Linked DNA regions of Oryctolagus cuniculus. The protein of the gene in region 1 purifies or fractionates together with the protein of each later gene. This does not show direct contact. Links are inferred from orthologs where the notes say so. Each region holds a gene or a part of one and is shown on either strand. Other genes may lie near its edges.

What was found. The genes of interacting proteins can lie anywhere in the genome.
Region 2: the proteins of RHOC (region 1) and DAAM1 purify together in Homo sapiens (affinity purification with mass spectrometry; 3 studies listed by BioGRID and IntAct, counting the BioPlex papers as one, with this or other methods). This does not show direct contact. The link is inferred for Oryctolagus cuniculus from reciprocal best matches to the Homo sapiens genes RHOC and DAAM1.

Annotation. Positions count from the first base shown.
Region 1 is NC_091438.1:57,617,977-57,622,334, reverse strand, and holds the start of RHOC (rho-related GTP-binding protein RhoC), read right to left. Parts: upstream 2,866-4,358; 5' UTR 2,539-2,865; intron 255-2,538; exon of another isoform or gene 116-254; intron 1-115. UniProt on the Homo sapiens protein: Regulates a signal transduction pathway linking plasma membrane receptors to the assembly of focal adhesions and actin stress fibers.
Region 2 is NC_091433.1:99,046,903-99,050,338, reverse strand, and holds part of DAAM1 (disheveled-associated activator of morphogenesis 1), read right to left. Parts: intron 1,675-3,436; coding exon 1,504-1,674; intron 1-1,503. UniProt on the Homo sapiens protein: Binds to disheveled (Dvl) and Rho, and mediates Wnt-induced Dvl-Rho complex formation. May play a role as a scaffolding protein to recruit Rho-GDP and Rho-GEF, thereby enhancing Rho-GTP formation. Can direct nucleation and elongation of new actin filaments.

The sequences.
Region 1 (4,358 bases):
AACACCTGGGGGACCCCTGACCCATAGGGAGGTGCTCAGAGACCCGCCAAGAAGAGCCACTTCTGTTTACTTTATATGCCAGGGTTTTTCAATCGGGCTTCCTCAGTTACGATACCTTTGAAGTTGAGTCGTCATCAAGTTCCAATCTAGAACAGTCTGTTCCTCAGCTCAGGTCAGCCCTGCCCACTCAGGACCAAGAGGTCTTCTCCAAGACCCCACAGCAGCAGCAGCTGCCAGGTGGTAGCCCCCACCCCACCCCAGGGGAAGGGCAAGATCTGTAGCACCCGGAGATGCTGGGTCCTGTGCGGGTATTCTGACAATTAGCCTCCACGGCCCCCAGACACCTGCAGGTGGCTTCCCACCTGACAAACTGGGAAATGAAGCCTCCATAAAGTTCAGTCCCATACACAGAGTCTCCGGGACCCGGGTCTGCCATTTGGACACATTACTCCAGAGCTTCAGAAAGGACAGCAGATGCAAGGAAACCCAGCCGGGGGGCAGTGGCAGCAGCCAGCGCCAGCGGCCCTGGCCCACCACACCCAGTCCCCAAGCCCTGCGCTTGCTGCACAAAGGAGGCTCAGTCCCGGCAGCCCACAGCCCGCATCTGGGCAGTCTGCCTTCCTCCCCCTTCCTCCCAGGCCTGGCAGCAACACTGGGTCACTCAGCCCTGGCAGGGGACAATGACCACACTGTAGGGAGCCACACATCCACTGCAGCAGAGTAAGTGTGTGAGAATAATCCACCAGGGAGTCACCTCCACCCACTCTCCGGACAGCCCCTTCCTCCCTCCGTCTGCGTCCGCGCAGCTCAAGGAAGGCCCTGCCCACCCCTCCCTGTGACTCAGGGCCAGCAGTCAGCTTCCCAGGGTTTGTGTGTGTCCCTCGCCCCAACACACATGAACACGCATCTGCACAGCTCATCACACCTTCCCAGCTCCCCTCACTTCCTCCTTCCTGGCCAGAAAGCCGACTTCCAGCCAGCTCAAGTTCCCAGGCCCACTGCCTGGGAGGAAGAGAGGGCGGGCTCCGGAGCGGAGACGAAGTCAAGGCTGTAGGGAAAGGGGGAGGGGGAGGGGATTGGAGCCTGGGCTGGGAGGAGCCCCAAGACAAGAGACAAATGAGGGCCGGCGGGGCCCAGCACCAGCCGGGCAGGGAGCAGTTAAGAAGGGGCGGGTAACCTGATCTCTGCCCTAAACCAGGCTGTTTCCCTCAGTCCCACATCCTGTCAAACTAAGCTAAGCTCCTCTGTGGCCCACATACCATCCCCACCTCGCACCTCAGCCCCAGCCTGCCTGGTGGGGGACCCTGGTGGCGCCTCCCTCCCAGACCCAGACACACACACACACACACACACACACACACACACACTCACAAAGCTGGGATGTGGGGGAAGAGGACAGGAGTACACGGCCACACTCTCCCCACCACAGAAGGGGCTCTCCCTGACATCCTGAAAGAGAAGCACCCAGGCAGGCCTGGCAGGCAACCACCGCGGGGAATCCCAGCGATCCGCTGCTACACGGTGCGGCGGACAGAAGCCGCAACTCTGGGGCAGGGACACGCATGCACCAAGTGGAGCCCACCTCTCAATGAGAAGACTCTCTACCCAGGCTCTGGTTGGGGCAGGAGAGCCAGCAGCCCAGGCCAGGCCACAAGGCCCAGCGCCAGCTCCCTGTGGGAGGCAGCCCCAGAAGAACTGCCCCACTGACCCCAACAGGGGTAACCCAACCACCACCACTCCAGGCCTGCAATGCAGCCTGGAATCCGGGGGGAGGCGCAGGGCCGCGCTCCTCAGCCATTCCCTTGATTTCCAAGCCCAATCGCGGGGCCCGGCGGACCCAGTCCACCTCCCCCGACGTCTAGGAAGTAGTAAGTCTTCGGGAGATACCCCGCCCCCAACTTTTAAAGCAGAAACACGGGCGAGATGCGGGTTCGGGAGTGTGAGGGAGAAGAGATTTCTTAGACACGCGCACCCGAGCCATCCCGATCTCCCCCCACTTCCCTCCACGGGCAGGCTACAGCAACCGTCCAGGGCGGCGTCCCCCACTGGTCACACCCTGCCCCTATTCCCGCCATTCCCCCATCCCGGCCAGGGGAGGCAGCACCCCCACCGGGGTCAGTTCCCGACCTGCCCGCCCCTCGCCCGCCTCCAGGTCCGTAGGTGCGCGGCCGGCTGCCCGGGCCCGGAGCCAGAGCGCCTCACGGAGCTTCCAAGTCGCCCCTCTCGGCCCTGGCCCGGCGGGGCAGGTCCACACGAGGAAAGGGGCGCGAAGGGAAAGGCAGGGACTCCGGCTCTGACCCCAGGAGGCGAGAGCCCCTGTCTGGCAATTCCGCGCGCCCCTCGCCGCAGCCCGGGCCGATCCGGCCAGACCCCGCACAGCCCGGACGCCGCGTCCGAGGGGAAGCAACAAGGCCCACGCTCCGGCCGGAGCCCCCCGCCGGCCGCGCCCCAAGCTCCGGGCGAGCGGAGAAGGGAGAGAGTGCTCTCCCGGGGCGAGTCCCCAAGACGCCCCGCCGCCCCGGCCCCGGCCCAGGGTACCTTCCGCTCCGCCGCCTCCAGCTCGCGCGGCCGGTGCCGGAGGCTGAGACTGACCCCAGGGCCCCTGCCCCGCCCTCCTTCGGCGCCGCGGAGGGGAGGAGAGGGGCGGGCCGGCGAGAGAGGGTCGGCCCGGGGGCGGCCCTTGGCTCGGCCCGCCTCCGGCTCCAGCGCTCGGCCGCCGTGGGTCGCCGTTGCTGGGGCCTGGGGAGCGGGGAGAGCCGCTGGCACATGCTGGGACTGCAGAGGAGTGGGCGGCGAGACCCCCCGAGGACTCAGCCTGCTCCCCGCTGCCGGCCCCTGGGGGCGTACCGGCGTCGGGAAAGTTGCGAGGCGCTCGGGGTGGGGTCAGACCGGGCCGCTGCTGCCCTCCCGTGGCCAGCGGGGCACCGGCTCCTGAAGCACCTGAGACCTCCTCCACGCGGGGAGGCGCGGCCGCGCCAGGGCGGCCCCGGGGTACACGAGTACCCATCGTCTTGCCCCGAGAACCGTTCGTCTTACCCCCGCCTTGAAAGCCTTTCGGAACCAGACCTCCGTTCCACTTCAGAATCCTCTCGTTCCCGCTAGCTGGCATTTCCGTAGGCTCCATTCCTGCCTACTCCTCAAAGGGCACTCCTGCGGATGCTTCAGGATTCCCGGCTGTGAATTCGTATTACCTCCTAGTGCCTAGGGACCCTCAGCGTGGTCTAAATTAGGGCCTGGAGTAGTTACCTACACGTGTGTCTCCTTCCCTCCCGGTAGGCGGCGGGGCAGGTGGGTGGGTATAGGAGGAGGAAGTCTAAGCACTTTCAATGAATGGGTACACTACTCTTAGTCGTCGTCACAGGCCTTTGGGGTGCGTAGACCCAAACTGCAGCGCAGATAAGTGGCTTGCACACAGGTGCATGCTTTGTAAGTGACGGGCCTCTCTGGCTCCAGTGCTCCAATGCCTCTGCCCTGGCCCATGGTCCTTCACCCTGCCCCCACCCCACGTCTGGAAGTGTGTGGCACACAAGAGGGCTTCAGCAAACATATGCTGCATGAATGTTACAAGCTATACAGACTGAGGCCAGCGTTGTGGCGTAGTGAGTAAAGCCGGCCGCCTGCCACGCCAGCATGGCATCTGTTCCAGTCCTGGAGACTCCTCTTCTGATCCAGCTCCCTGCTGATGGGCCTGGGAAAGCAGCAGAGGATGGCCCCCAAAGGCTTGGGCTCTTGCCACCCACGTGGGAGACCTGGAAGAAGCTCCTGGCTCCTGGCTTCAGCCTGGCCCAGCTCCAGCTGTGGTGGCCATTTGGGGAGTGCACCAGCATGTGGAAGTCTCTCTCTCTCTCCCTTGCCTTTCAAGTGCAAAAAATAAAATCTTTATATTAAAAAAAAAAAAAGGTCATACAGACTTTTAAGATCTGAAGTGCAGGCGCAGGCTGCTCCACTTCCCATCCAGTTCCTTGCTAACGTGCCTGAGAAAGCAGCAGAGGATGGCCAAAGTGCTTGTGTCCCTGCCACCCGGAAGAAGCTTCAGCCTGGCCCTGCCCTGGCTATTGTGGCCATTTGGGGAGTGGACCAACAGATGGAAGATCTCCCTCTCTCTCTCCCTTTCAGATAAATAAATACATCTTTTTTAAAAATCTGAAGCACCATCCAGACATTTTAGAACCGTGGGGACAGGTCCTGAGCTTGGTCCCAGGCCTCCTGCTCAATAATCACTTATTATTATACGTGAATTGAGAGCTACGTCACAGATAGATTCCTGCCTTCATACAACTGACAGCCTAAATGAGGAATACAGATAATTTCCAGATAGCTAACATTTGTGGAACTCCTATTAGAGACCTGGCCCTGTA
Region 2 (3,436 bases), on another chromosome or scaffold:
GGAAAGTTCTGTCACAGAAAGCTAAGCTCTTGAGAGCTGTTGCCTCTTAAAAGCACGGGGCCGTGGGGACCTGAAGTCCTACTACAGAACAAATGAAAGAAAGCTACCACGCATGGCTCTGGGCTTTGACTCTTACCATCGAGAAGGATATTCTTGGTACAAGAAGAAAAACTGAGGCGATCTGTGTTTCTACATGGAAAAAAAGTTGCCACTACTAAATAGACCTGGAATACTGATTTCTTCATGGTACGGAGATACTGGAGCACATGGCCGCCAGTACACTCTCCTTACCTCAAAACCTTAGTCTGCATCTACAGTGGATGCCTGAGACCTGCAGCACAGGAGTTTCTGTTCTTAAAACCCAAATAATGTGCACGTGTGAGGCAAAATGTAGGTGATCCAGATAAACAAAATGAGAGAAATGCACCTTTAATTCAGCCACCAAGAGCTCAATCACTGGGAACCTCTTGGGGGTTTCGCCCACCACTACATTTTCTATATTAACACCTATTTTACAAACAAAAAGATTTCATATGTGGGGTGCTGATCTGTGTCCCAGCCACTCCACTTCTGATTCAGCTCCCTGCCAATACACCTAGGAAAGCAGCACAAGATGGCTCGAGTACTTGGGCGCCTGACTCCTGGCGTTGGCCTGGCATAGCCTTGGCTGTCATGGCCATTAGAGGAGTGAACCAGCAGAAGGAAGATCTCTCTCTTCCTCTCTGTAACTCTGCCTTTCAAATAACTAAATAAATCTTTAGAAATAAAAACAATAGATTCTATCTGTGGAAGCTTTACTGAATCATTAAACAGTCTTTGAAGGACTGCATAAATATTCCATTATGTAGCTGTTCCATCATCCAGAACAAATCATGACTTTCAGATCATCTCCAACATGAGGGCAGAACGCTGCCCCCTTTTTCGTAAATTTTGATTATTTCTTCAGAATGATTTCCAAGAAATGGGAATTCCAGATCAAAAGACATGGATATATTTTTTAAGGCTTTTGGATATTTACTATCAAATCATCTAAAAGATACTTGACAGCAATATAAGTTCCCAGCAGCATTCTAGAAAGTACCGCAGTGACTTCCTTCTTGCCAGGCCATGAATGAGAGTGAGACAAAAACCCACGGCGAGCAGGCGTTTGGCACAGCAGTTAAATCACCACTTAGGGTGCCCGAGTCCTGAGCCACAGTGTCTGGGTTTGAGTCCCGGCTCTGGCCCCAGTTCCTGCTTTCTGTTAATGCACACCTTAGAAGGGTGTGGTGATGGCTCAACTAGTTGGGTCCCCGCCACCACAGAAGAGACCTAGATGAGTCTCCTTGCTTTAGCCTCAGCGCAGACCAGCTGTCCAGGGCCCTGAGGAGTGAACCAGTAATGGAGACTTCCTCTTTGTGTTACCTTGGTTTCTCTCTCTGCTTTACAAAAGACAAACAGCAAGAAAAACCCAAACTAGTGAAAAGCAAAAAGCGAAAAATCCCCAGCTCATGGAACTCTTACCTGAGCCTCCATGCAAGCCCGGCGCTCTTCCTCCTCCTTCCTCCTCCGCATGTTTTCGTTGTCCTGCTTGGCTTCCGACACGGCTTGAAGAAACTGATCGAAAATGCCGAAGAACTCATCTGGCTGTATTTTGCCAGCCTCTTCCCCAAAGTGCTTCACTGCTTTAGTAAACTGGAAAAAAGGTTTTGAGGAGTTGAGTATTCTAAGAATTTCATGGAGGATTTAAAGCTGAGTCAACCATGACTTGACAGATTTTCGTGAGCTCCTATTTATCTTTAGCGGCTGAACATGTCTGTTAATCATTTCTATATTAAAATGTCAGTACTCTTCAACTTTGTTTATTCCTGTAGCTCTTATTTCAGTTTAACATCTATGATTATCTCCTATGATTTTTATTAACTAAACAACAGTAAAAACAAGAAAGCAAAATATTTTAGGGCAGAACACCCAAGACACAAAACTAATCGCAGACTCAGCAGGAGTAGGGAATGTTGCACTTTTAACTTTTCTTTGAAGTCCTTTAATGTTATTTATTGTTGCCAAACAGTTAATAATGACCGCAAATGGGATCCAGTACTTCTTAGCTGCTTTTCTTAATGGTAAGTAACACTGGTATTGTTATGTTGTCTCCTGGGTCTCAACGAGAAAACTAACTGATTATGGAATCATTAATGCAACCCAAAATTTTTGGCTGAGAATACAATTTTTATTCTAAACTCTGTTGTAGAACCCATTCCAATCTTTCTAAAACAGTCAAATATAAAATACTAATGAAGAATTTTTAAAAAATTAAATAATGAATGTATATAATGTATGTGTGTATACATATAGAGTATATCCAGTTGTTTTCATAACTTGAGTATGCTTCCAATATTCTTAGTACTATGACCATGCAAATAATGTGATTGTCTGTTAAAATTATCTTTTCTTCTGTTTCTAATGCTGTTACTCCAAAGCTACTAAAGACAGTGCTCCTGGCTTCAAAGTCAAAGGAATTCTCTTTTCCTGTGCCTAATCAATTACATAACATTTCCCATATTTGTAATTTACCTTTAGACTATGACAAGCATATGTAGTCCTCTTCAAACCAACAGCTTCTAATTGATTTTCTTTTTCTTCTACTATTGACTTAACTATATTGTTAAACTTCTCTGATGGTCCAGTACCACTATGTATCTTAATGAGAATGTTTTCAATATTTATTCTTTAATAAAACAGTCTTAGACTAGTGTATAAGAGGGGTACTTCAAAAAGTTCAAAGAAAATGGAATTAAAAGTATTTTGGTGCAAAAACTCTTTTGAAATCCATGCATAGTTTTTTCACATTATGCATTTTCATGAACTGGTTGAAGAACCTTCAAATGCAAGGGTTTCAAAAATCTTTTGTAGCAAAGTAAACTGTCAGTTCCATTTTCCATGAACTTTCTGAACTACTGTCATACAGATATATTCATATATATGTTTAGATGGGACATAATCTTAATCATATAATAAGATGTTCTTTTCACCAGTTTTCTTTTTATGGAGTTGTTGTCAATGTTTTACTTATTTGGAAATATTCTGTTAGAAAACAGAGCTCTTAAGGGAAAAACAAAACCTTTTTCACACACCACATACACTGCTCAGGCTTGTCTCATGGTTTTTAAAGCTAATTTCTAAGAGTTCTGGCATGAACAAAATATTAACAAACAGTCTACAGCTGAGTTTCTCAAACATTCGAATTCATGCACTTCAAGTCATCCCTGGCTGATCTTTTTATCTAGGAATTCTAGTGACGATGAAGTCATGTATATTTTAGTCTTAGAAAGAGCTGAAGAAAATTAGGCCCAGATTAAAGTTCCCACACTGAAAAAAATAAAAGGAGGTTGTGGATTGCTATGAAATGCCTGAGTTCCTTGGTGACGTGGGTACTGTGCTGGGATGCTGGGGTGGC